Linked DNA regions of Caenorhabditis elegans. The protein of the gene in region 1 purifies or fractionates together with the protein of each later gene. This does not show direct contact. Each region holds a gene or a part of one and is shown in the gene's direction. Other genes may lie near its edges.

Region 1 (4,386 bases):
AATCTCGTTTCTCATATTTCTTGCCCTAGTTTATTTTGACCCAAATCAGCTGGTTTAGTGTGCTCATTTTTCATCCAGTAGGATATTTGTCTCGAATCTGCCTTTTCTTTGGCCATCCACTCCATGAACGTTTTATCGTTCATTCCTATACCAAGTTGAGGGTTTTTCTCATCACAGACAATCAAGAGGGCTTCATTGGTCTTCATAAGAGTCTTTTCGAAGTCTGCATGTTTTTCAAGCATATTAGATTCTATTTCTTACTTATAAAAGCTCACCTTTATCACTTTCTGCTCGGAGTTGCAGTGCATGAATTGAATATGAACGAAGACTTTCTGAGAGATATGCTGCCAATGAATTTATTGTATGGCCGTCTGGCATATTTTCTTGGAGAATAACAAGCGCTTTTTGGTGAACATCGCAACTGTTCGTACATAAAAGTTCTTCAACTGCCGTTTCGGGTAGATTTAAAGACATAAGAATTTGATAATGAGTGTAGTGAGCGGCACTGGGATATCTGCAAGTTTAATCATTGTTGCAATCTATAAGTCACTTCAGTTCTCACCTTTTTCCGCCAGCTCTAAGTGCAAAATTGTATCCACAGTGTAGGAGATCTGATTCATTTCCAATTAACACAATTTTCTCTTCATCCATGTTTGATCCTTAAAAACGGAATTGAGAAAGAAATCAATAAATAGTTGATTAATCACCAGGCAAAGCAGTTCAAACAACTAGTGCAAACTTCAAAAGAAAATGAGATGTTCAGAATTAAAAAACTGGTAAAAATAAAGAAAACTGTTCAACTTCGAAGAAATTATTCAAAAAATTCGTTCGGTGACTAGGGTAAAAAAGAGGCAATTAAAGGCGCATGCCATTTTTCGGTCTCATGGTCTTGCGGTGACGTACGCAGCCAATTGGCCTGGCCGTTGACTGAGTATTCAACGCTTCAACGATAAACGTTGAAAGCAACTAAATTTCTTTTCGATTTTTGCCTGAAATTTTTGAATTTTTCGCGTGAAACTGGATTTTTAACATGTTTTGTATAAAAATTGAAAAAATTCACATGTTTCAATGTATATTTTGTATTAAAACATGTTTTTATATTAATGTAGTTTTTAGTTACGTAATTTAGGGTTTTCTTAACAAAAACCTTGCCCAAAATACTTTTTTTTCAAATATATTTCTTGTGTTTTGTTCGGATTATAACTCTTTTCTATCAATATCTTCGCTAATATTAATATTCAAATTTTCAGCTTTCGTCAAACAGTGGGCAACATGGCTGCCAATCAAAACGTGACCAAGAAGAAGAAGGCCGTCATCGGCGGAATCTTCAAGGCTGAGCTTAACAACTTCCTGATGAAGGAGCTTGCTGAGGATGGATACTCCGGAGTCGAGGTAAAATTATTAATCAAAAATATAGCATTTAAGCTTCAAGTTTTGCAGGTTCGCAGTACCCCAGCCAGAGCTGAGGTCATCATCATGGCGACCCGCACCCAAAACGTTTTGGGAGAGCGAGGACGCAGAATTAAGGAGCTCACCTCGGTTGTCCAAAAGAGATTCGGATTCGAGGAGGGATCCGTCGAGGTAAAAATACATTTATTGAAAAATAAAATACATTTAACTTTTTAGCTCTACGCCGAGAAGGTTTCCAACAGAGGACTCTGCGCTGTCGCTCAGTGCGAATCCCTCAGATACAAGCTCGTCGGAGGTCTTGCCGTCCGTCGTGCTTGCTACGGAGTTCTCCGTTTCATCATGGAGTCTGGAGCTCAAGGAGTTGAGGTATGATTACTTTATTTTAATAGACAAAAAATTTAACTTTATTGCATCTAATATTCGAAACTTGTATTATATGGAATTTGTATTCATTAAAAATTATAGGTTATCGTCTCTGGAAAGCTTCGTGGACAGCGTGCTAAGGCCATGAAGTTCGTTGATGGACTCATGATTCACTCTGGACACCCAGTCAACGACTACATCCAACAAGCCGTCAGACACGTTCAACTCCGTCAGGGTCAGTGATTTTTTACGGGGAAGATTTGGTTAAGAAAGGATTTTTGATCGCAAAAAACATGTCGTTCGAAAAGTTTAGATGTTGCTTTTCAGTTTTTTAATTTTAAAAATCAAGTTTAAAAATTTGTATTACTATTTTGTAAGTTTCCATCTTCATTTTTTTATTTTCAGGAGTCATCGGTATCAAGGTCAAGATCATGCTTCCATACGACCCACGCGGACAGAACGGACCAAGAAACGCCCTCCCAGACCACGTCCAAATCGTCGAGCCACAAGAGGAAGTCCTTCCAAAGGAACCACACAGCCAGCACAAGGAGGAGAAGAAGGATGTTCAAGTCCCAGCAGCTCAACCAGTTGCTCCAGTTCAATAAACTGTTGTTACATACCCAATAAATTGTTGGTTAATTGTTACTCGTTATTTTCAGTGTAATGATATTTAAAGTTTACAATCAACGTACTTTCAAAAATCGAAAGGGAGGAGTCTAGGAAACTGTTTCGTTGCAGAACCCCCAATTACATAAACGCGACACGCCGGTGATAAGGGTGACCTCGGTGTCTCATATCGTCGCGCTTCTCTTCATTTCGTTTCATTTCATTTCTCCTCTTTGCAACTTTTAACCCCTTCAAAAATGTACGTCTTCTCTTTTTCGGTTCTTCTTGCCGTTCTAACAATGCCGATGCTTCCACCAGTTGCAAATGCGCTTAAACGGTCTGAAACAGGCGCAGAGGAGACTTCAGAGCAAGATGCGGTCAAGTTAGTTGGTAGAAAATGTGGTGGTGGAGGCATTTTGTCAACTTTTTCATTTATTTTCAATCTTATTTCTAAAGAAAACTGACTAATACAACTGTTCAGGAGAACCAAAGTGCTCGACATGGCTCAAAAAGTGACCCGTCAAATCATCAGCTCCGCAAATGCTCCAGGAGCTATCGGACCATACAGGTATTCAAGAAATTATATTATTTTCTACCACAACATTCCTCTGAAAATAAGCAATCAACAAAAGTATTCATATAATATTAAAAAATTTCAGTCAAGCCGTTCGTGCCGGAAATACCATCTACCTTTCCGGATCTCTTGGCTTGGATCCAAAAACTGGAGATTTGAAGGAGGGCGTCGTTGAGCAAACTCATCAAAGTCTCAAAAATCTCGGAGAAGTTCTTAAGGCAGCTGGAGCTGATTATGGAAACGGTGAGATTTAAAATAAAAGATTTAGAACATAAAAAACTTAATTTTTTAACTTAAAAAAACACATTTTGATATTTCCGTGCCACATGGCAAAACTTTAATATTTTAAAATTTCAGTCGTCAAAACCACAGTTCTTCTTCAAAATATTGCTGATTTTGCTGCCGTCAATGAGGTCTACGGACAATATTTCAAGTCTCCATATCCAGCTCGTGCTGCTTATCAAGTAAGTGAAAAAATTCGTATTGCAAAGTTAAATCAAAAATTTTCAGGTTGCCGCGCTTCCAAAAGGCGGACTTGTCGAGATTGAAGCCGTCGCGATTGCTGGAGAAATCGAGGAAGTTAAAAATTAAAAATTAATGTGATTTTATGTAAAAACAATAAAGTTTTATTTTCCAAACGTGGCATTGATGTTCTAATTTTTTTCTCGATGGAAATAAAATTTATTTATTCCCAATTTTCAAAAAATTTGAAGTGAACATTATCGTTCTTCATTCATTTTATTTTTGCAAACTTAGAGTTTGACAAAAAAGTGATACAATGTCGAAGAAGACGAGAGTCCCAGAAGTCGCCGATGATTGCACGAAGACTGTTTATCCCGATCCGATCCCCATGCCAACTTGCCCGCAACTGATCAATGACGGAACATCGTGCTTCCTCAATATCATCCTCCAGATGCTGAAAAGAGCCAATTTCCACGATCATTTCAAAGGAGATTGGCAGAAAGGAAAACAGAAGATGTTGATGCACAAGGAACTGCAACAAATATTCAACGGGAAACCAGGGCCGAAGGATGTCAGTCGTTTGCGGGAGATGTTCAGCAATGAAGCACTCAAGGATGGCCCCCATCCACTCTTGGTTGCTTTGAAATGTCTTATCAAAGTGAGTAATAGATATTAATATAAAAGTTATAACTTATTAACTGATAAAACCGGTGTACATATTTATCGTAGAGCTGACCATCCGGACTGCGACATCCGGACACGACTTTCCAACATTTAGCCACGCCCACATAGAGACCCACGGGTGGCAAATGATGCTGGCAGTTTTTTTTTATTAATGGACTTATGGGAGCGTACATCCCGACAGTTTCTGGGCTCTGCCGCTTACTATAGAAACGCAGGAATTTCAGAGTGATACGCGGGACCCAGAAAATGTCGGGATATATGTACGCTACCATAAGTCCAATGATTAA
Region 2 (5,714 bases), on another chromosome or scaffold:
TTAATGCTTAATTGTACCATGAAGAAGCACCAATAAATGGGCGGAGTTTGGCAATATATGGGCGGTGCTTTGCGAAGATTTAAATTTTCGAAAACGTCATATATAGAAAATTCGAATGATTTTTAGCTGCATTACTGCAAATTGAACTTAAAAATAGTGACTTTTTTTTCAAAAATTTCACAAAAATCCCGTCCATTTATTAATGTTTTGGTAAAAAATCGAGTTTTCGCCAAACTGCGACGTAAACGCAAAAAACCAATAAAAGGGCGGAGCGTTTTTTTGAAAAATCACTGTGATTTTAATTTCATTGTAATTTCTGATGTTTTCCAACATATTTTCCTGTAAATATATATTACTGGAACAAAATACTATGAGAATGCGTATTGCACAACATATTTGACGCGTAAAATATCTCGTAGCGAAAACTACTGTAACTCTTTAAATGACTACTGTAACGCTGGTGTCGATTTACGGGCTCGATTTTTTGAAATAAATAGAATATTAAAACTAAGCATCCATTTTGAAAATCGAGCCCCGTAAATCGGCATAAGCACTACAGTAGTCATTTTAAGAATTACTGTAGTTTTCGCTACAAGATATTTTGCGCGTCAAATATGTTGTGCAGTACGTATTCTCTGAATTTTGTGCTCCCGTAATAACCCTTCCCAATCGAATCTATCCACAAACACTCTTCTGCCATTCACACACACACACTACTCAGAACATTACAAAATACGTGCAAACTCGGACTGCGCCTTCTCTCTCCGTCTCTTCATTGTCTACACTGTATCGTCTCGTTTCTCTCGACTGCTGCTGCTGGCCAGCCAAAAAAAAGAAAAATAAAATCGAAGAAACCCCGCTATCTCACTTGTTGTGTAGTCTTGATTTCGATTGAAATTTGTTTCGAAAAAACAATGTCGAATTCGATTTTCCATTGTTATCTCTCGTCCTTATCAAACGTTGGCTATTGATCACGATTTTCGAAAGTCATTTGCGTCATTTTTAATTTTTGCCTAGACTCTAGAGTATCGACTTTTCACGATTTTCTTGTCAGTATTCTTGTCGAAAAGTGACTCGAATTTAATGAAAATTTGTCGTGTCGAGACCGGGTGTGTCTCAAAAATCGTAAAATTTCGCCTCTGGCTAATTTAGTATTCATTGGCAAATGTAAGAAAGGTATATAGTTCAGCAAAAATTCCTTTTGTGTTCGACTCGAAATTATCTGAAATTACCGAATTTCATAATGAAAATTCTTGAAAACTTCTCAAAAAAAGTTATGGCGGTACAAAAAATGACCTGAAATTAGTTAAAATTTGAAATTTGACCGTCTTGTCAAGCGGCTGGATGCTAACTTTTTGAAATCATCGTCTAATTATGGGTATATAAGTTAATTATCTTGCGTTTTCAACTCGATTTAGGTATATTTGAGGTCGATTTGTCACCAGATTTGGTTAAATTTGGTAACATCTGGGGGATACATCGAGCTTAAATGTACCAAAATCGAGTTGAAACTGCAACAAGAAATTAACTTGTATACCCAAAATTAGACGGTTATTTCAAAAAAGTTAGCCGCTTGAAAAGTCGGTTAAATTTCAAATTTTAACTAATTTCAGGTAATTTTTTGAGCCGCCATAACTTTTTGGAGGAGTTTTCAAGAAGTTTCATTATGAAATTCGGTGTTTTTAGACTATTTCGAGACTACTTAAACAATAAAAAACGTTCGACTAGACCATCTTTAGATAGTTAAGTTTTTGCTGAACTATATACTTTTCTTACATTTGCCAATCAATACTAAATTAGCTAGAGGCGAAATATTACGATTTTTGAGCCATACCAGGTCTCGAGACGACATTTTTAAAAATTAAATTTGAGCCACTTTTTGAAAAGAATACAGGGCAAGAAAATCGGGAAAATCGATACTCTCGGTTTCACAAAGAATAGCAATTCTTCTATCGTTTTCTCCTCCTTATTCTGAATTTCTATCCAAATTTCCCTCCAACAAAAAAATTCCATAATTCTTGTAGAATCAAGATGACTCGCAAGTTCTTCGTCGGAGGAAACTGGAAGATGAACGGAGACTATGCCTCCGTCGATGGTATCGTCACCTTCCTCAACGCCTCAGCCGACAATTCCTCCGTTGATGTCGTCGTTGCTCCACCAGCTCCATATCTGGCCTACGCTAAATCCAAGCTTAAAGCCGGTGTGCTTGTCGCCGCACAAAACTGCTACAAAGTGCCAAAGGGAGCATTCACCGGGGAAATTTCGCCGGCAATGATCAAGGATCTTGGATTGGAATGGGTGATCCTCGGACACTCGGAACGTCGTCATGTCTTTGGAGAAAGCGATGCTGTTAGTTTAATACATTTTGATTTGATCTTCGAAAAATTCGGGAAAAGATCTTCTCGAGACGCAGACTTTTCCACTGATTTCGCAAGAGTGTGCTGACGTCACATTTTTCTGGCAGAAAAATTCCCGCATTTTTTGTAGATCAAACCGCAATGAGACAGCCTGACACCAAGTGTCAATAAAAAATTCGAGTTTCAGGGAAATTAATCTGAAATTTCTTTTTCAGCTGATCGCTGAGAAGACCGTGCATGCTCTCGAGGCTGGAATTAAGGTCGTTTTCTGCATTGGGGAGAAGCTCGAGGAGCGTGAAGCCGGACACACCAAGGATGTAAGGGAGCAAAATACTGGAAATTATCGATTTTTCGCAAGAAAATTTGAAAATTCAACATTTTCAAACTTTCAGATTTTTTTTCTTAATTTTTTCGGGTAGAAAATCGATTTCTTCTAATATTTCAGTAGAAAAATCAAGTTTTTGAGATTTTTTGAAAATTCCAAAATGGTTTTGTTTCGAATTTGCACGTTTTTCGGGAATTTTTCAAAGTTTCTTCTTAAAAAATCCCTGAATTTTATAGTTTTGAGCTCAATTTTTCCTCAAAAAAAACGCAATATTTCTCTTTCTGCAACGAATATTAGAAATAATCGCTTCGAGACCCGATTTTTATGAATTTTCGTGAATTTTGAACAGAAAACATTTAATTTTATCATTTTCCAAAAAAGCGGAAAATTCCAACAAAAAATGGTCGCCAAAAATAATTCTTTTTTTTTTTGCCAAATTTTCAACAAAAAAATTGGTTCCGGCAATAAAAAAGAAAAAACTCCTGAAATAGTCGTTTCGAGACCCGATTTCTTATGAATTTTCTTGAATTTTGCAGAAAAGTTCAAAAAAAAATCTCCGAAGAAACATTTTTATTTAAAAATCTTCGAAAAATCGATTAAATTCCCTATTCCACGTGGTAAAACAAAAAAAGTTCAAAAATAATCGCTTCGAGACCCGATTTTTTAATGAATTTTCGTGAAATTTATATAAAAATACAAATTTAAATTCCCAAAAACGCGAAAAATTCAAAAAAAAAAAAGAATCCCGAAGAATATAAAATTTTCGAAAAATCGATAAAATTTGAAACAAAAAATTCCTGAAAAATAATACCCAATTCCTTATAAATAAAGATTTTTTTTAATGTTGTAGAAAAATAAATTTCAAAAATCGATCGCTTCGAGACCCAAATTTTCCAATTTCCAGGTAAACTTCCGTCAACTTCAAGCCATCGTCGACAAGGGTGTCAGCTGGGAGAACATTGTGATCGCCTACGAACCAGTTTGGGCCATCGGAACCGGAAAGACTGCTTCTGGAGAACAAGCCCAGGAGGTTCATGAATGGATCCGTGCATTCCTCAAAGAGAAGGTCTCACCAGCTGTCGCCGATGCCACGAGAATCATTTATGGAGGATCTGTGACTGCTGACAATGCGGCTGAGCTTGGAAAGAAGCCGGATATCGATGGATTCTTGGTCGGTGGAGCATCGTTGAAACCCGATTTTGTCAAGATTATCAACGCCAGATCTTAAATTATTATTTATTTCCCCCTATTTCACAGATTTTTCCGGATTTCCACTGATTTTTCACCGATTCCCCTAAATTTTGGTCGTAAAATTGGTTGATTTTCATTGATTCCCCTAATTTTTAGCCGTAAAATTAGCTGATTTTTCCCGGAATTTCAGCTTCAAAATTGTAGAATTTCCCTTAGTTTTCCCCAATTTTCCCCCAGATTTCCTCTAAATTATATTGTAAAATTAGCTGATTTTCATCAATTTTCCCGGAATTTTGACCGAAAAAAATCCAAAATTTGGGTGAATTCGTGAATTTTTTGGCTTGAAATTTGGCTTTTTCCTCTCTACAGTGTAGATATTAGTAGCAGCTTTTTTTTCCAGTATTTTTGATATTCAAAACCTATATATATTTATATAAATAAATTTCTTGCCGACAAATAACAAAAAATCGATATTTTCAAACAATAGTTACTTGTTCTGTGTGAATATTTCAGCCGGCGATTTTCAGATTTTTGCGGAAAATTTTCAGTTTTCAGATGAGTAATCAATATATCAACGAGCCGATTACGACGGGAAAGGTAAAATTATTGATTTTTATCGATTTTTGGTGGAAAAAATTGAATTTTCCAGAAAAAATGACCGAAAATTTCAATTTTTATCGATTTTTGAATAAAAATCGAAAATCCAGTGAAATTTTCGATTTTTCCGATGAAAAATTCGCGTATTTTTGCAATTTTTAAGCTGTAAAACGAAAATTTTGAGTTTTTTTTATCTAAAAATTGGCTAATTTCGAAAAATTTTGGATAATTTATTGAAAAATACGACCAATTTTGCACTTTTTGCGCCAAAACTACGTTTCCTGGTCTCGACACGACAATTTTTGTTTATTGCAAAGAGGTGTGCGCCTTTAAAGAGTACTGTAGTCTTGAACATTTTTTTAATCAAAAAATCTATAAAAATTCGAGACTACAGTAATCTTTAAAGGCGCACATCTTTTTAACAAAAATGTGTCGCTTCGAGACCCTAGGTACCGTAGTTTTGGCGCGAAAATCGCAGAATTCGTCATATTTTTCTCTTTTTTTTAAATTAAATATCCGAATTTTTTGAAATTTGTCAATTTTTAGAGGAAAAATCGAAAAAATATGACGAATTTTGCGCTTTTCGCGCCAAAAATACGGTATCTATGGTCTCGACACGACGACTTTTTGTTAACTGCAAAAAGGTGTGCGCCTTTAAAAAGAGTACTGTAGTCTTGAACATTTTTTTAATCAAAAAATCGATAAAAATTCGAAAATTTTTTATCCAAAAACTACAGTTTACTATGAAAAATTGATGAAAATTCGAATGTACAGTAATCTTTAAAAGCGCACATTTTTAAACAAAAATATGTCGCTTCGAGACCCTATGTACCGTTGTTTTGGCGCGAAAATTGCAGATTTCGTCATATTTTACTCCTTTTTAAAAATTAAATATCCGAATTTTTAAAAAGTTGTCAATTTTTAGATGAAAAATCGCAAAAATATGACAAATTTTGCGATTTTCGAGCCCAAACTACGGTACCTAGGGTCTCGACACGACAAAAAATTTTTGATTGCGAAAAGGTGTGCGCCTTTAAAGAGCTGTAGTTGCAAACTTTAAAATAAAATTACAGTAATCTTTAAAGGCGCACACGTATCTCAATTAGCAATAATAAAAATTCGTGTCGATACCCTAGGTACTGTAGTTTTGGCGCGAAAATCCCAAAATTTTGAAGAAATCGAAACAAATTGAATTTTCAAAAATTAAATAATTTCGAAAAAGCTTTAAAAAAATGTCTTTACCA
Region 3 (5,748 bases), on another chromosome or scaffold:
AGAGGATTGTGCTGTTCTTAGGGATAACGCTCATTTGAGGTGAATAAGTTGGCAAAACAAATTTGAAAAAGTTAAAAAGTAGTACAAAGTGTGTCTGATAATCTACTAACCAAATCTAAACAACTATTTCACAAGTTTTAATTTTTATCGTTAGTTTATAATTGCAAAGTTGAATCAATACTGTGCAGCAAGTTGGCAAGTTGAAATGTATATAGAAGTATGTGAAAATGTTCGGTCAATCTGAAAAAAATTATTTTATTGAGAACGCCTGGAAACCCGTCAAAGTTTTTGAAATACTTCATTTGACTTTAAATATATCGTTAAACTTTGTTGGCGACTTGTAGGCATTATTTTTAAAAAAATCTATTTCAAAATCGAGAAAAACCTACATTTTTATATTAATTTTTGATTTATAAATTGAAATCTCATACTGTAATTAGAAGCTTTGTACGTTTTGCGCACAACTTACATATAACTCTGTTTAAAACAACCAAGAAACTTTGTAATAATATTCTTATGTTTTTATTTACAGAAGCCGGGCTCTTGTCGCTCAATCCGATGCTACAATGCACCTTCCAGCTCAAATCGGAGATTACACCGATTTCTACTCCTCCATCCATCACGCCACCAACGTCGGAATCATGTTCCGTGGAAAGGAAAATGCTCTGATGCCAAACTGGAAGTGGCTTCCGGTCGGATACCACGGAAGAGCTTCATCAATCGTTGTATCTGGAACAGACTTGAAAAGACCAGTTGGACAAACTAAGGCCCCAGATGGTAAGATTTAGATTTGCACCAATAATGCAAATGTGTCCGCTTTCAGCTGAGGTTCCATCGTTTGGTCCATCAAAGCTTATGGACTTTGAGCTCGAGATGGCGTTCTTTGTGGGAGGTCCAGAAAATGAATTGGGAACTCGTGTTCCAATCGAGAAGGCTGAGGATCGTATCTTTGGAGTTGTGCTCATGAACGACTGGAGTGGTGAGTAACGATGTTAATTAAATATCAAACAAAAACATTTAAACTCGACATTTTGGTGACAAGAAAATTCAACAGTAGTTATTTTCAAGTTTGCTCCATACTCATCCGAAAAAAAACTTTTCCAGCTCGCGATATCCAAGCTTGGGAATACGTTCCACTCGGCCCATTCCTTGCTAAATCCTTTGCCACAACTGTTTCTCCATGGGTCGTCTCAATTGAAGCTCTTCGTCCATACTTTGTTGAGAATCCAGTACAAGATCCAGTTCCACCAGCATATCTCCATCACGATGACCCATTTACCCTTGACATCAATTTGGCCGTCAGTATCCGTCCAGAAGGAGATGCTGTGGACCATATTGTCTGTAAAACTAACTTCAAGGTATGTTCAAGTTTAGTAGAAACGATATTATCTACACTGTTCACTGTAAATTGGATCATAAACGCTCGTTAAGGTTTTCTCAACTACAATACTGTAATTTCTAGCATTTGTATTGGACTCTAAAACAACAACTTGCTCACCACACCGTCAATGGATGCAACCTCCGCGCTGGAGATCTTTTGGGATCAGGAACTGTATCTGGACCAGAAGAAGGTGCATATGGATCCATGCTCGAGCTTTCGTGGCGCGGAGCCAAAGAAGTTCCAGTTGGCTCAGAAATCCGAAAGTTCTTAAAGGACGGAGATGAGGTCAACCTTTCTGGAGTTTGTGAAAAGAATGGAGTCAGAATTGGTTTCGGAGAGTGCCGCGGAAAAGTCCTGCCAGCCGATATCTAAAATCATCGTAATTAAATCGTTTTGCTTTTTGTTTCATTCTCTCGTTTGTTAGTAGTATCTCGTCGAATAAAGTTCTGAAGCCCACGAAAAGTGATGAAAGTGGAAGTGTGCAGTGTCGAAAATGATAGGGGTTTGTCACGATTTTTTGGTTTCTATGTTATCAGTTCAAAGCATGAGCGAATAAATAGGAGAGCTGGTTGCTTGGAAATCATTCTCAGTTCAATCATGATCAAGACAATCTTGCTTTTGGCCTTTGTGGCCTCGACCTCAGCTTTTGTGATTCCTTTCAAAGTTCATGCTGCAGTTACCAACATTACCAAAGGTGAGTATGAGAATTTACAGATTTGTTTCAGATAAAGTGAAATTTGGTGTTTGTAAATGGAAGCCTTTACAAAATTTAAAATGAACATTTAAGCATTATTTTTGATTTTTTTTTTGAATTATTTTCCGAAGCGTATAAAAATTTCGATCACGTTTGATTGAACATGAACATTTAATGGTACATTAACGTTATATTTTATTCAAAATAGGGATAGACACGTAACTGGGAGTAATAATAGTGGAGAGCGGTAAGTTGTTTTAAGAGCACGTATATATATATCCCGAAGCCACATAAAATGTACAGTGAATGAACAAACATTATTTCCTTTACGACATTGAGTAGAATGTATTTAACTTAGAATAAAGCTTATAACTTACAAACACAATGTTGCGGTTGATTTCCAATTATATATTGGTTGTTTTGAGAATTATGAACTGAAACTTGTGTGGTATGATTTTTCCATCATTTCCAACTATTTGAAAACATTTTATATCAACTTTTAGAAAAAAACTTTTTTTTTTTGATTTTTTTGGAATTTTTAAAAAGGGGTATTTTGGCACTTTCAAAATGTCGTAACTTGATCAAACCTGCTCTGAAGCAGCTAAATTTTTGGAGTGATCATCTGTAACTATTCTCTATCGAATGTATATAGTGGCGTAACGAAGTCCGATAACGAGTTCAGAGCCTTCCCTTGTTAGGAATAATGGTTTTCTAAATCTATTACATTCCACTAGTGAATTGTTTTGTACTGAAAATTACTTTTGGTATATAATACACAAGTTCCTTAGATTTTCAAAACTGAAGTTTAATTCCAGGAGGACAAACTCTGGAGCAAACCTCAACCTTCTTCGTTGCTAACTTGACCATGGGAACACCAGGACAACTTTTCACTGTTGTCATTGACACTTCGACCGCTGACATTGTTATTCCAGATATGAGTTGCAGTGAGTTTCAACCAATCGCTTTCTTGATTGCAATTTGATAGTTTTACGACTTTTAAATGTATAAAACATCTCGAACATAATCACGAAATGATGACAGTTTTTGTCAGCTTTTGCTGACAATTTGCCCTATTATATCGGCACTAAAATCGTTTTTTATGTTGATTATCGGTCAAAGACTATCACTTAGTGCACATAACATTCCTAATTTTGAAAACTCCACACTACTGATAAGAGTGAAAAAGATACAAACTGGAAAATGTTTCAGAGACCGCAAATAATTGCTACAACAAGAGAAGATTCAACCAAGCAAAGTCGTCGTCTTACTATGCATATGGAAATAAGTACACGTACAAGAATAATCTTGGAACTTTCCAAGGATTTGATGCAAAAGACACTGTTGTGGTAATACTTTCAATTTGTTTTTTAAGTCCTAACAATTTTTTTCCAGATCGGAGACCGCAAAACTGATTTGATCACCATTCCAGGCGTGAAGTTTATGCAAGCTACCGACCTCGGACTTTTGATGGATGGATTGGGTGCTGATGGAATTTTGGGATTGGGATTCACAGCCTCATCGCAAATCGGTGGAAACTCACCATTCGTTCAAGGTGTTAACGCTGGAGACATTTCGGGCACATTCTACTCCATCTGGCTCGAGCACTTCAACCAAACTGATGATCTCGGAACCCACGGAGTTATTTACTACGGAGGATTTGATCCAGTGCACTGTGCTCCAAACCCAACATACGTCCCATTGGCTTCTGCATATGCATACCAACTCACGATGTCTTCCTTCAAAGTTGTAGGATCATCCGCCACCAACTCCAACAACAAGTACATTCAAGTGAGTTTATTGCATCTCTTATGTATCAACAAATATAAATTTCAGACTTACCTTGACACCACCACCGCCCAAATTGGACTTCCAAAAACTTACATTAGCCAGGTGTTTGACTCCCTTGGCATCAGCACAAACGTTATGAATGCTATCTACCCAACAATTGTTCCATGTAACACTAAGATCACCCTCACTTTTGGATTTGTTTCTGGTATGTCGATTTCAGTGTACCTTCCACTTGTTTTACATAATTGCTCTATTTTCAGGTACAACAGTCTCAATTACGGAAAGAGATCTTGTTATTAGCTTCTTCGGAACATGTAGACTCCAAATTATTCCAACCACTGATAGGTAAGGAATGATTGAGAAGATGGATTGAATCATGCAAAAATTTTTCAGAATCATTCTCGGTCTTCCATTGTATCGTGGACGTTGCACATATTTCGATCCAATCATGCAAAGAGTCGGGTTCACTCCAGCGCTTCTCCAAGATTAGTGTTAATATTTGAAAGTGGAATAAAAATAAATCATTAAATTTAAAAAGTGCCGTTATGCGGTTCATATTCAGATTCATTTGAGAAATTTCTGAAAACATTGTAAGACTATTGGGATAGTTGGGAATGGGTTTAAGAACATATTTGATAGTATTTCTGATCTACACATAGTAATGTTCTACAAAGTTCTAGAGTGTTTCAAAAACTTTCCCAAACTTTCAGAACGTTTTATATTCTCAAATATACAAAGATTTCGAAGAAAGTATCTTAAACTTTCCAAAACTGATCATTTTCTGAATGTTGAAACGAACTAACTTGCCTACTATGTAGTTAGAAGCAGATTCTACATAGGGCGGTTGGAAGAAGTTAAACATAGTAGGCTAGTTAAAGCATTCGCTGTTGCATGTGCAACCGGTCGGTCCAAATAACGTCAAACAAACAAAAGGGACTAAAAAATTTTTCTATTTAAAAATTATCAGTAGAAATGTTAGTAAAAACATATCATTATTCTGTTCTAAAGCTTATTGGATAATGACTGACGAAGTTTGACTCATTGTATCGAATGATCATTTTTTAATGTAAACATTCACATCTAACAATTACTGTATGGTTGTCATAAAATACAAAATGACATTTTCCATTTAATAAAAAAGATCATCAAACATCACCCGACATATTCAAAACGATTTATTTGTTACATTGTCTGTTTTGTATTGTGACTCAAACTGTCTCATAAATACTGCTTGAAACACATAACTATATAAGAACCTGTCTTGCAACAATTCATTAAAATCTTCACCATGCTAATTATACTTGTTGCGGTTTTTTTAGCTCAAGCTAATGCCAGAGTGGTTGACATAGCAACCGACATTGTGAACATGGCTGCTATAAAAGACCAACTAAATTACGAATGTAAAGACGTAAAGGAGCAAACTCAATTCCAAAATTGCGGCAGCTCATTTTCAGTAAGTTTCCCAGAAAATAAGTTGGTGACAGTAAAATATTTCAGAAAAGTTTGGCGATTATCCAAAACTATCAAAACAACTCAACAAGACAACCAACTCTTCATGAAGAGCTGCTTTCACTTAATAATGTAGTGAGATGGATGTCATTATGTACAAAAAAACAATGAAAATGTGTGTAGTGCACAAATAAAAATTCATGAAATTACCTCTAAAATCACTGAAATCGTTCATAGCTTTTCCACAGAAATGAGTCCGAGTGACTGTTGGAAAGAGGTACTTTTAAAATGGTTTTTTTGGTGTATGTAAAATGATTGTTCAGGACGAGCTATATCACCAATACGTTTCTTGCTCAAACAATTATGGATTAACAAATAGAAATACTCTAAAAGAGTTGGACGTTCTCCGTCAAAATCAAGACGCAATTGTCACCTG
Region 4 (6,730 bases), on another chromosome or scaffold:
AGAGGAGTTTCGTACTCTTTTCCTTTACTCTTCCCCTTCTTGTTTTCTTGACGTATTTTTCAACTTGATTATTACTTTGTTTATTTTTTAGAATGGTCGCGGAGATCGTCAGTGGACTCGAGTACTCAAAAAAGGTTCTTCACGATGTCGGACAGAAAATCGCAAAAACCCGTGAGCACCACCCAAATTTTCATGCAGTATTGGCAATTGTTCAGGTATGAAAGCTTACCACTGATAATAATTTTATTTCAAGCATTGCTATTAACTTAATAATATTTCTAAATTGAATATATGAAAATGAAAATCTCTGTCCAATCTGTGTTTTGAGTTCATGACGTACATAAGTGCATTGCATACTTACAAAACAGATTTTGAAAGTTTTGCAGAGCGTAATTTGTAGTTGTGGTGTACTTTTGAGATACCGGCTTTTATTTCGTAACAAGACAAATAATATCCGAGGGGATATCTGTTATACTGAATAACTCAAAGTCTCAAAATTTGCAGGTTGGAAATCGTTCAGACTCCAATGTGTACATTAATTCCAAACTGAAAAAAGCAAAGGAAATCGGAGCAGATGGAAAACTCATTAAGTTGCCAGACACCATCACTCAAGGAGATTTGAAGCGAGAGATTATGGCTCTTAATCATGACAACGAGATTGACGGAATTATCATTCAGGTTAATATAACGGATTAAGTTGTAATATTGAAATGTTAACTTATAACGGAAAAAAAACACATCTCAGTTAATTAAAAAAAAACATCGGAAGCTAAACAATAATAGCAAGTTATTAATTTCAGCTTCCACTGGACTGCAAGCACGAAATCGACGCAGACTCTGTTATCGACTTGATTGACCCATTGAAAGATGTCGATGGACTGACTCGTATCAATGCTGGACGTTTGGCTCGTGGAGAACTCCAGCGTACGATCTTTCCTTGCACTCCGTTTGGATGCTTGTACTTGGTTCAACAGGCAACTGGTGATGCCAACTTTGTGTCTGGAAAGGAGGTGGTTGTTTTGGGACGCTCGAAAATTGTCGGATCTCCAGCCGCTGCGCTTTTCTTGTGGCATCATGGAACTGTGACAATCTGCCACTCAAAAACTCCAAATCTCAAGGAGAAATGCCTGAGAGCAGATATTTTGATTGTGGCAATTGGGAGAAAACATTTCGTCAAAGGTAGATTATCAATAAACCTAAATTTGAGATAGTGCACAGTACTGGCCATACAGATATCAAAAGATTGATTTCAACTTCAGCAAACGTGGTTATTCCGAGCTGAGATCTGACTATAGTAAAATAGTGAAAGTTTTTATATCCTGATTTTTTGGAATTCATCATTGAACAAATTTCGCGTTGCTTTTTTCATAATTACGCCCAAATCCATTTAAAAGAAGAATCTTGGCAAAAGTTATTACGAGTAGACCTTTATATGAGCAGCACGGTATTTACTTGCTAACCTAAAAGTTTGTAAGTCATTAAATTATGCAAAATATCTATAATAGAAACCCCAATTTAAGAACTATCAATGTTTAGTATGCACCTGACTGTTTGCAACTTCTGAATTGTTTTGCATCAAATAGAAACAGACTCTCTGTTCTGATAAGTGTCAGCGTTTTTTACAAATAAAAGCATATATTTCAGCTGATTGGATCAAGCCTGGCGCATTCGTCATCGACTGTGGAATCAACGTTGGTGACGACCCAAACTCACGCAAAATTTACGGAGATGTTGACACAGAAGCCGCAAAGGAAGTCGCCGGATTCCTCACACCTGTCCCCGGAGGCGTTGGACCAATGACTGTTGCCATGCTCATCCGTAACACATTTGAGCAGGCTAAGAGACGACGTCTTGGACAAAAGGTAAAATAGCTTTCCTTTTGCGACACTAAGTTTGTGCAGGTTTTTTGATGTTCTGGCCTAAGCGTGGATAGTGCCAAACAGTTTGTTTTGCGTGTGGGGTTGATACTGATGCACCAGAGTTTATTTCAAAAATTACAAAAGACACCGATAGCACGTTATCGACTCAAAGAACTTCAAAAATTCATTGAGCGATAAACTCTACGAAACAAGCAAATTTCATGGACATTGTCTTCATTATTTACACCGAATGTAAAGTTGTTCTGCAACTATAGTGTGCCTCACACAAAATCGATTGAAAATATGTTAAAAATATTTGTAAGTGTTGTATTTCACAGAACCTACTTTTCAGGATGACGATGATGAGTGAACTTCAAGCACCCACTTCCACCACATCATTTGCGAATGAACTATTTATAATGTGCTTTTTGGTTTGACTTTTTACTCTTTAAAATTTGTTGTGACGTTCTGGAACTTGAAGTCCTCTTCATACCTTTTTTTAATCTAATCTTTTCAATTTGTATTTTCTTTTTATTGTCACTTTCCACCGAAATAAACAATGACCAAGGACACAATTAGCCCTGATTTGTAAAAAGACCATGGTCTCGCGATAAATGCACGTGGTTAGTTTAGATGTTTAGATGCACGAGAGCGACGCAACATCGAACAAATCAGAGGACGCGATCAATAAGGCAGACCCGGCAAATGCCCCCCGTGCATGTTTTCTGTGCGTCTCCTAATATCTGATACTGACTCGATTACTTGTTCTGCCCACTGCCTTATCAAGGTGTTTGTATTTAGTGGCCATCGCTCTGCAGTTGTTTGAATCACTCGCTTTTTATTTTCGTTGATTCATTGGTTTCTCTTGAATTGTGAAACATGGTAAGTAACACTAACGTTTTGGGATTTGATTTTTAAACGGAAAATGCAATTTTGAAAACTCCAAAAATAACAAAAATAATTTGTTCATGTTTTGAGCGTGAGCAAAAAAAACAGAACTTGTGTATAATAACTCCACACTGTAAAAATACATTTTCAAAAAAAAAAAGAGTCTGAAGATAAAAAAAAGAGTATTATCTGTTAAATTAATATGTACATAGAAATTAATCTTGAAAAAGCGTCTTTTTTGTTTATGTTGACTAATAAAAACTTAATATGTCCCAGTTTGATATGTTGTCATACATTTCTGGAAAACCTAAAATATGTTACTTTCTTCTGATAAACCTGTCCGTGCGTTTTATCGTTTTTTAAAGTCAAGTTGCGAATTGCAACATTATCACTATTGTCAATCTATTTTATTGATTGATAAGAATCAAAATATAAAAAAATAAGAATTTTTGATCGAAGTTCCCATAAACATTTAAGTCACAATTTCTATCTTTTCATCAACTTCAATTTTCAATTTTTCACGCTGCTTGCGCCGCAAATTTGACCGAATGGTAATTCGATTAAATGTTCCAAATCAAACATTATAATTTCGTTGAATTATTTTTTATTTCAGAGCACATGGAATGTTGAATACTTGAAGCCCACCCTGTTAACTCCTGTTCCATCGGATATTGCTATTTCGAGAGCTCAACCACCAAAGGACATCGAAAAGGCACTCAAGAATATTTAATTTAAAAAAAACTTATCTTCATTATTTTCAGGTAGCTGGGGAAATTGGAATCAAACAAGAAGAGCTTGACCTTTATGGACGCAAGAAGGCAAAGGTTTCTCTTGACATTTTGGATAGACTGAGCGAGGTTAAAAATGGAAAGTACGTTGTAGTTGCTGGTATTACGCCAACACCTCTTGGAGAAGGAAAATCCACAACGACAATCGGACTAGTTCAAGCTCTCGGAGCTCATCTTCACAAAAAGGTGTTCGCATGTGTACGCCAGCCATCGCAAGGACCAACGTTTGGAATTAAAGGAGGAGCTGCTGGAGGAGGATACTCTCAGGTTATTCCGATGGAGGAGTTCAATCTTCATTTGACAGGAGATATCCATGCAATTACTGCAGCCAATAATCTTCTTGCTGCTGCAATCGATGCTAGAATGTTCCATGAGTCAACCCAAGCAACTGATGCACTATTCAACAGATTGGCACCAAAGAACAAGAAGGGTTTGTTTGAAGTCCCTTTTTATGGCATAGAAATAAATACATTAATACTTACTTTTCAGGAGTCCGCCCACTTTCGGAGATCCAACTTCGTCGCCTCGACCGTCTTGGAATCCCACGTGTAGATGATGCTGAAAATCTTAGCGAAGAGCAGAGAGTTAGCTTTGCTCGTCTCAACATAGATCCTGCAACTATCACCTGGAACCGTGTGATGGATACGAACGATAGATTCTTAAGAAAGATTGAAATTGGAATGGGACCGAATGAGAAGGGACACACCCGAACTACTCAGTTTGATATTACTGTTGCTAGTGAGGTTAGTCAAAACAATTTCATGGCAATTTTAATTTATTAATTCTTATTTGTAGCTCATGGCGATTCTTGCGTTGACAACTTCTCTCGCTGATATGCAAGAAAGAATTGCACGAATTGTGATCGGATCCGACAAGGCTGGCAATCCAGTAACCGCTGATGATATTGGAGTAACTGGGGCTTTGACAGTTCTTATGCGAGACACCGTTCGCCCAAACCTGATGCAAACTTTGGAGGGTACTCCGGTTTTTGTCCATGCCGGACCCTTCGCTAATATTGCACATGGACAAAGCAGTATTCTTGCTGACAAGGTTGCTTTGAAACTTGCCGGACCCGACGGATTTGTGATCACTGAAGCTGGATTCGGAGCCGATATCGGAATGGAGAAGTTCTTCAACATCAAGTGCCGTTACTCGGGACTTCAGCCATCAGCAGTTGTCCTTGTAGCAACTGTAAGAGCTCTTAAGATGCATGGAGGTGGTCCATCTGTTGTAGCAGGAGCTCCACTGAAACACGAATACCTTGACGAAAACATTCCACTTGTTGAAGGAGGATGCGATTCAAATCTTAGAAAGCAGATTGAGAATGCAAACAAATTTGGAATCCCTGTTGTTGTCTGCGTGAACAAGTTCGCAACCGATACCGACAAGGAGTTGGAACTTGTTTGCTCCAAGGCCAAGGAATACGGAGCATTTGATGCAGTGGTTTCCGAACACTGGTCACAAGGAGGCGCTGGTGCGGTTGCTCTCGCCAATTCTCTGGTCAATGCTACAACTGGACATCCAAAGCAATTCAAATTCCTTTACAACCTGGATTTGTCATTGGAAGACAAGATCGCTACTATCGCCAAAGAAATCTATGGTGCTGATGGCATTGAACTATCTGACGAGGCCAAACAGAAATTGGAAAGATACACAAGACAGGGATTCTCGAAGTTGCCAATTTGTATGGCAAAAACTCATTTGTCCCTTTCATCAGACCCAACAAAGAAGGGTGCTCCAACTGGTAAGAAATCAAATTATTAGATACCGGTCAATTATAAACACTCTGTTGATGTTTTAATGTTTATAGTTTAGGTACTAAAAGTTCAACATTATGATTGGTTAATGAAACTCGATATTGACTATGCATAAACAATTTCCTACCAAACTATTCAAACAACTATTTTCAAATCAAGATAGAGTTTTTGTAGGTTTCACACTTCCGATTCGCGACGTGCGTGCATCCGTTGGAGCTGGATTCATTTACCCATTGGTTGGTGAAATGACCACAATGCCAGGACTCAACACTCGTCCGTGCTTCTACGACATCACCATTGACCCAGTCACTGAGATCATTGATGGGCTATTCTAAACAATGCTTTCATACTTCTTTCTACAGATTATTTGTGATATGCGTAACATTGTGATTTTATATAAGAATTTAATACTGAAATTGTAAATAAAAAGAGTATATAAGAGCATATTTTTTGAAGACCAATAAAATTGAATTAAAAAAAATATTTCTGTCTGCCAGGACATATTTGCCGAAAACCTGTTATTTCAGAAAAAACCCGGTTTTTCCTGTTGTCACGTCATCATATGATCATAGCAGTTGATTGGCTATGAAATTGAAATTTGCTGGATTCAATTACTTTTTCATCAGCTCAACACAATATCTGTGTATCATAACTATGATACATTTTTCCAAAAATTGGTTATTCAGTATTTCTACTTAAAAACGGGATATAATAGTTTGGGTAGTAATGCTTTTTTTTTAATAATTTTTTTTGCAGTTTGTATCAAGACCATGCATATTATTTTTGACATGGAAATTGCATTGTTGTTTTTATATCTTCCTATCAAAAAAGACAATGCAAAACTTTTTTACAGATACTTATTTGTTGAAAATCGTAGCAAGTAAGTTAGCTCGAAAATATTTGAAAAAGGGGATTTAGTATTGAAAAACTTAGATTTTTAGTTTTTCTGGCAATTTCCTTTGACATTTTTTAAAAGCTTTTAATTGAGATGTCTGTTGCTTCATTGAAGATTAAAAAAACAAGTATAAAATCTTCTAATGCACTTTTACTTTTTCTTCCTTCGTGTAGCCTGACATGTTTGTTTCTTTAAATGCTGAAATTTATGATTCTGAAAAAAATTATTTGTTGAAATCATTTCATACAAAGTGGCACAGCAGGAGTAAAAATAAGAATAAAAATAAAGTACATGAAATAATAGCTGAAAAGTTTTTGGCAAGAAACAGTTGTAGCAATGCTACAGGATTTAATAGGGGAAATGGGAAGTGGTAGACTGACAGAACAATTGTCAAACAAGTATAAATCATTTTTGGAATTGTGAATGAAGCAAAGAAATTGAACATTTAAGATATACCAGATGAAATGTATTATTTGGGTTTCTCATAATATGACATCCTCCTTTATACAATTAAAGTGTTATTATTGGCTTATTGCAGTTACA

Evidence for each region.
Region 2: the proteins of C23G10.2 (region 1) and tpi-1 fractionate together in Caenorhabditis elegans (co-fractionation; one large-scale study listed by BioGRID). This does not show direct contact.
Region 3: the proteins of C23G10.2 (region 1) and asp-14 fractionate together in Caenorhabditis elegans (co-fractionation; one large-scale study listed by BioGRID). This does not show direct contact.
Region 4: the proteins of C23G10.2 (region 1) and K07E3.4 fractionate together in Caenorhabditis elegans (co-fractionation; one large-scale study listed by BioGRID). This does not show direct contact.

What each region holds. Positions count from the first base shown.
Region 1 is NC_003281.10:6,205,553-6,209,938, forward strand, and holds C23G10.2 (RutC family protein C23G10.2), read left to right. Parts: upstream 1-2,511; 5' UTR 2,512-2,636; coding exon of another isoform or gene 2,637-2,638; 5' UTR 2,639-2,678; coding exon 2,679-2,761; intron 2,762-2,860; coding exon 2,861-2,947; intron 2,948-3,038; coding exon 3,039-3,196; intron 3,197-3,310; coding exon 3,311-3,417; intron 3,418-3,463; coding exon 3,464-3,544; 3' UTR 3,545-3,588; downstream 3,589-4,386. Other genes in the region: sna-3 (NADAR domain-containing protein), read right to left, coding at 25-223, 276-514, 563-651; rps-3 (Small ribosomal subunit protein uS3), read left to right, coding at 1,273-1,392, 1,441-1,581, 1,627-1,776, 1,876-2,008, 2,179-2,378; Serine/threonine-protein phosphatase C23G10.1, read left to right, coding at 3,732-4,073.
Region 2 is NC_003280.10:12,035,450-12,041,163, reverse strand, and holds tpi-1 (Triosephosphate isomerase), read left to right. Parts: upstream 1-2,024; 5' UTR 2,025-2,031; coding exon 2,032-2,349; intron 2,350-2,572; coding exon 2,573-2,674; intron 2,675-3,586; coding exon 3,587-3,910; 3' UTR 3,911-4,329; downstream 4,330-5,714. Other genes in the region: cyn-16 (Spliceosome-associated protein CWC27 homolog), read left to right, coding at 4,429-4,470. UniProt on the Caenorhabditis elegans protein: Triosephosphate isomerase is an extremely efficient metabolic enzyme that catalyzes the interconversion between dihydroxyacetone phosphate (DHAP) and D-glyceraldehyde-3-phosphate (G3P) in glycolysis and gluconeogenesis.
Region 3 is NC_003284.9:6,442,837-6,448,584, reverse strand, and holds asp-14 (Peptidase A1 domain-containing protein), read left to right. Parts: upstream 1-1,920; 5' UTR 1,921-1,978; coding exon 1,979-2,075; intron 2,076-2,890; coding exon 2,891-3,019; intron 3,020-3,284; coding exon 3,285-3,421; intron 3,422-3,467; coding exon 3,468-3,863; intron 3,864-3,908; coding exon 3,909-4,068; intron 4,069-4,123; coding exon 4,124-4,208; intron 4,209-4,256; coding exon 4,257-4,353; 3' UTR 4,354-4,400; downstream 4,401-5,748. Other genes in the region: fah-1 (Fumarylacetoacetase), read left to right, coding at 1-39, 533-777, 824-979, 1,105-1,358, 1,463-1,753; K10C2.7 (uncharacterized protein), read left to right, coding at 5,152-5,316, 5,361-5,483.
Region 4 is NC_003284.9:8,079,912-8,086,641, reverse strand, and holds K07E3.4 (formate--tetrahydrofolate ligase), read left to right. Parts: upstream 1-2,623; 5' UTR 2,624-2,738; coding exon 2,739-2,741; intron 2,742-3,239; exon of another isoform or gene 3,240-3,295; coding exon of another isoform or gene 3,296-3,298; intron 3,299-3,360; coding exon 3,361-3,459; intron 3,460-3,508; coding exon 3,509-3,965; intron 3,966-4,024; coding exon 4,025-4,278; intron 4,279-4,330; coding exon 4,331-5,279; intron 5,280-5,466; coding exon 5,467-5,627; 3' UTR 5,628-5,773; downstream 5,774-6,730. Other genes in the region: dao-3 (C-1-tetrahydrofolate synthase, cytoplasmic), read left to right, coding at 93-215, 505-678, 801-1,179, 1,645-1,862, 2,212-2,229.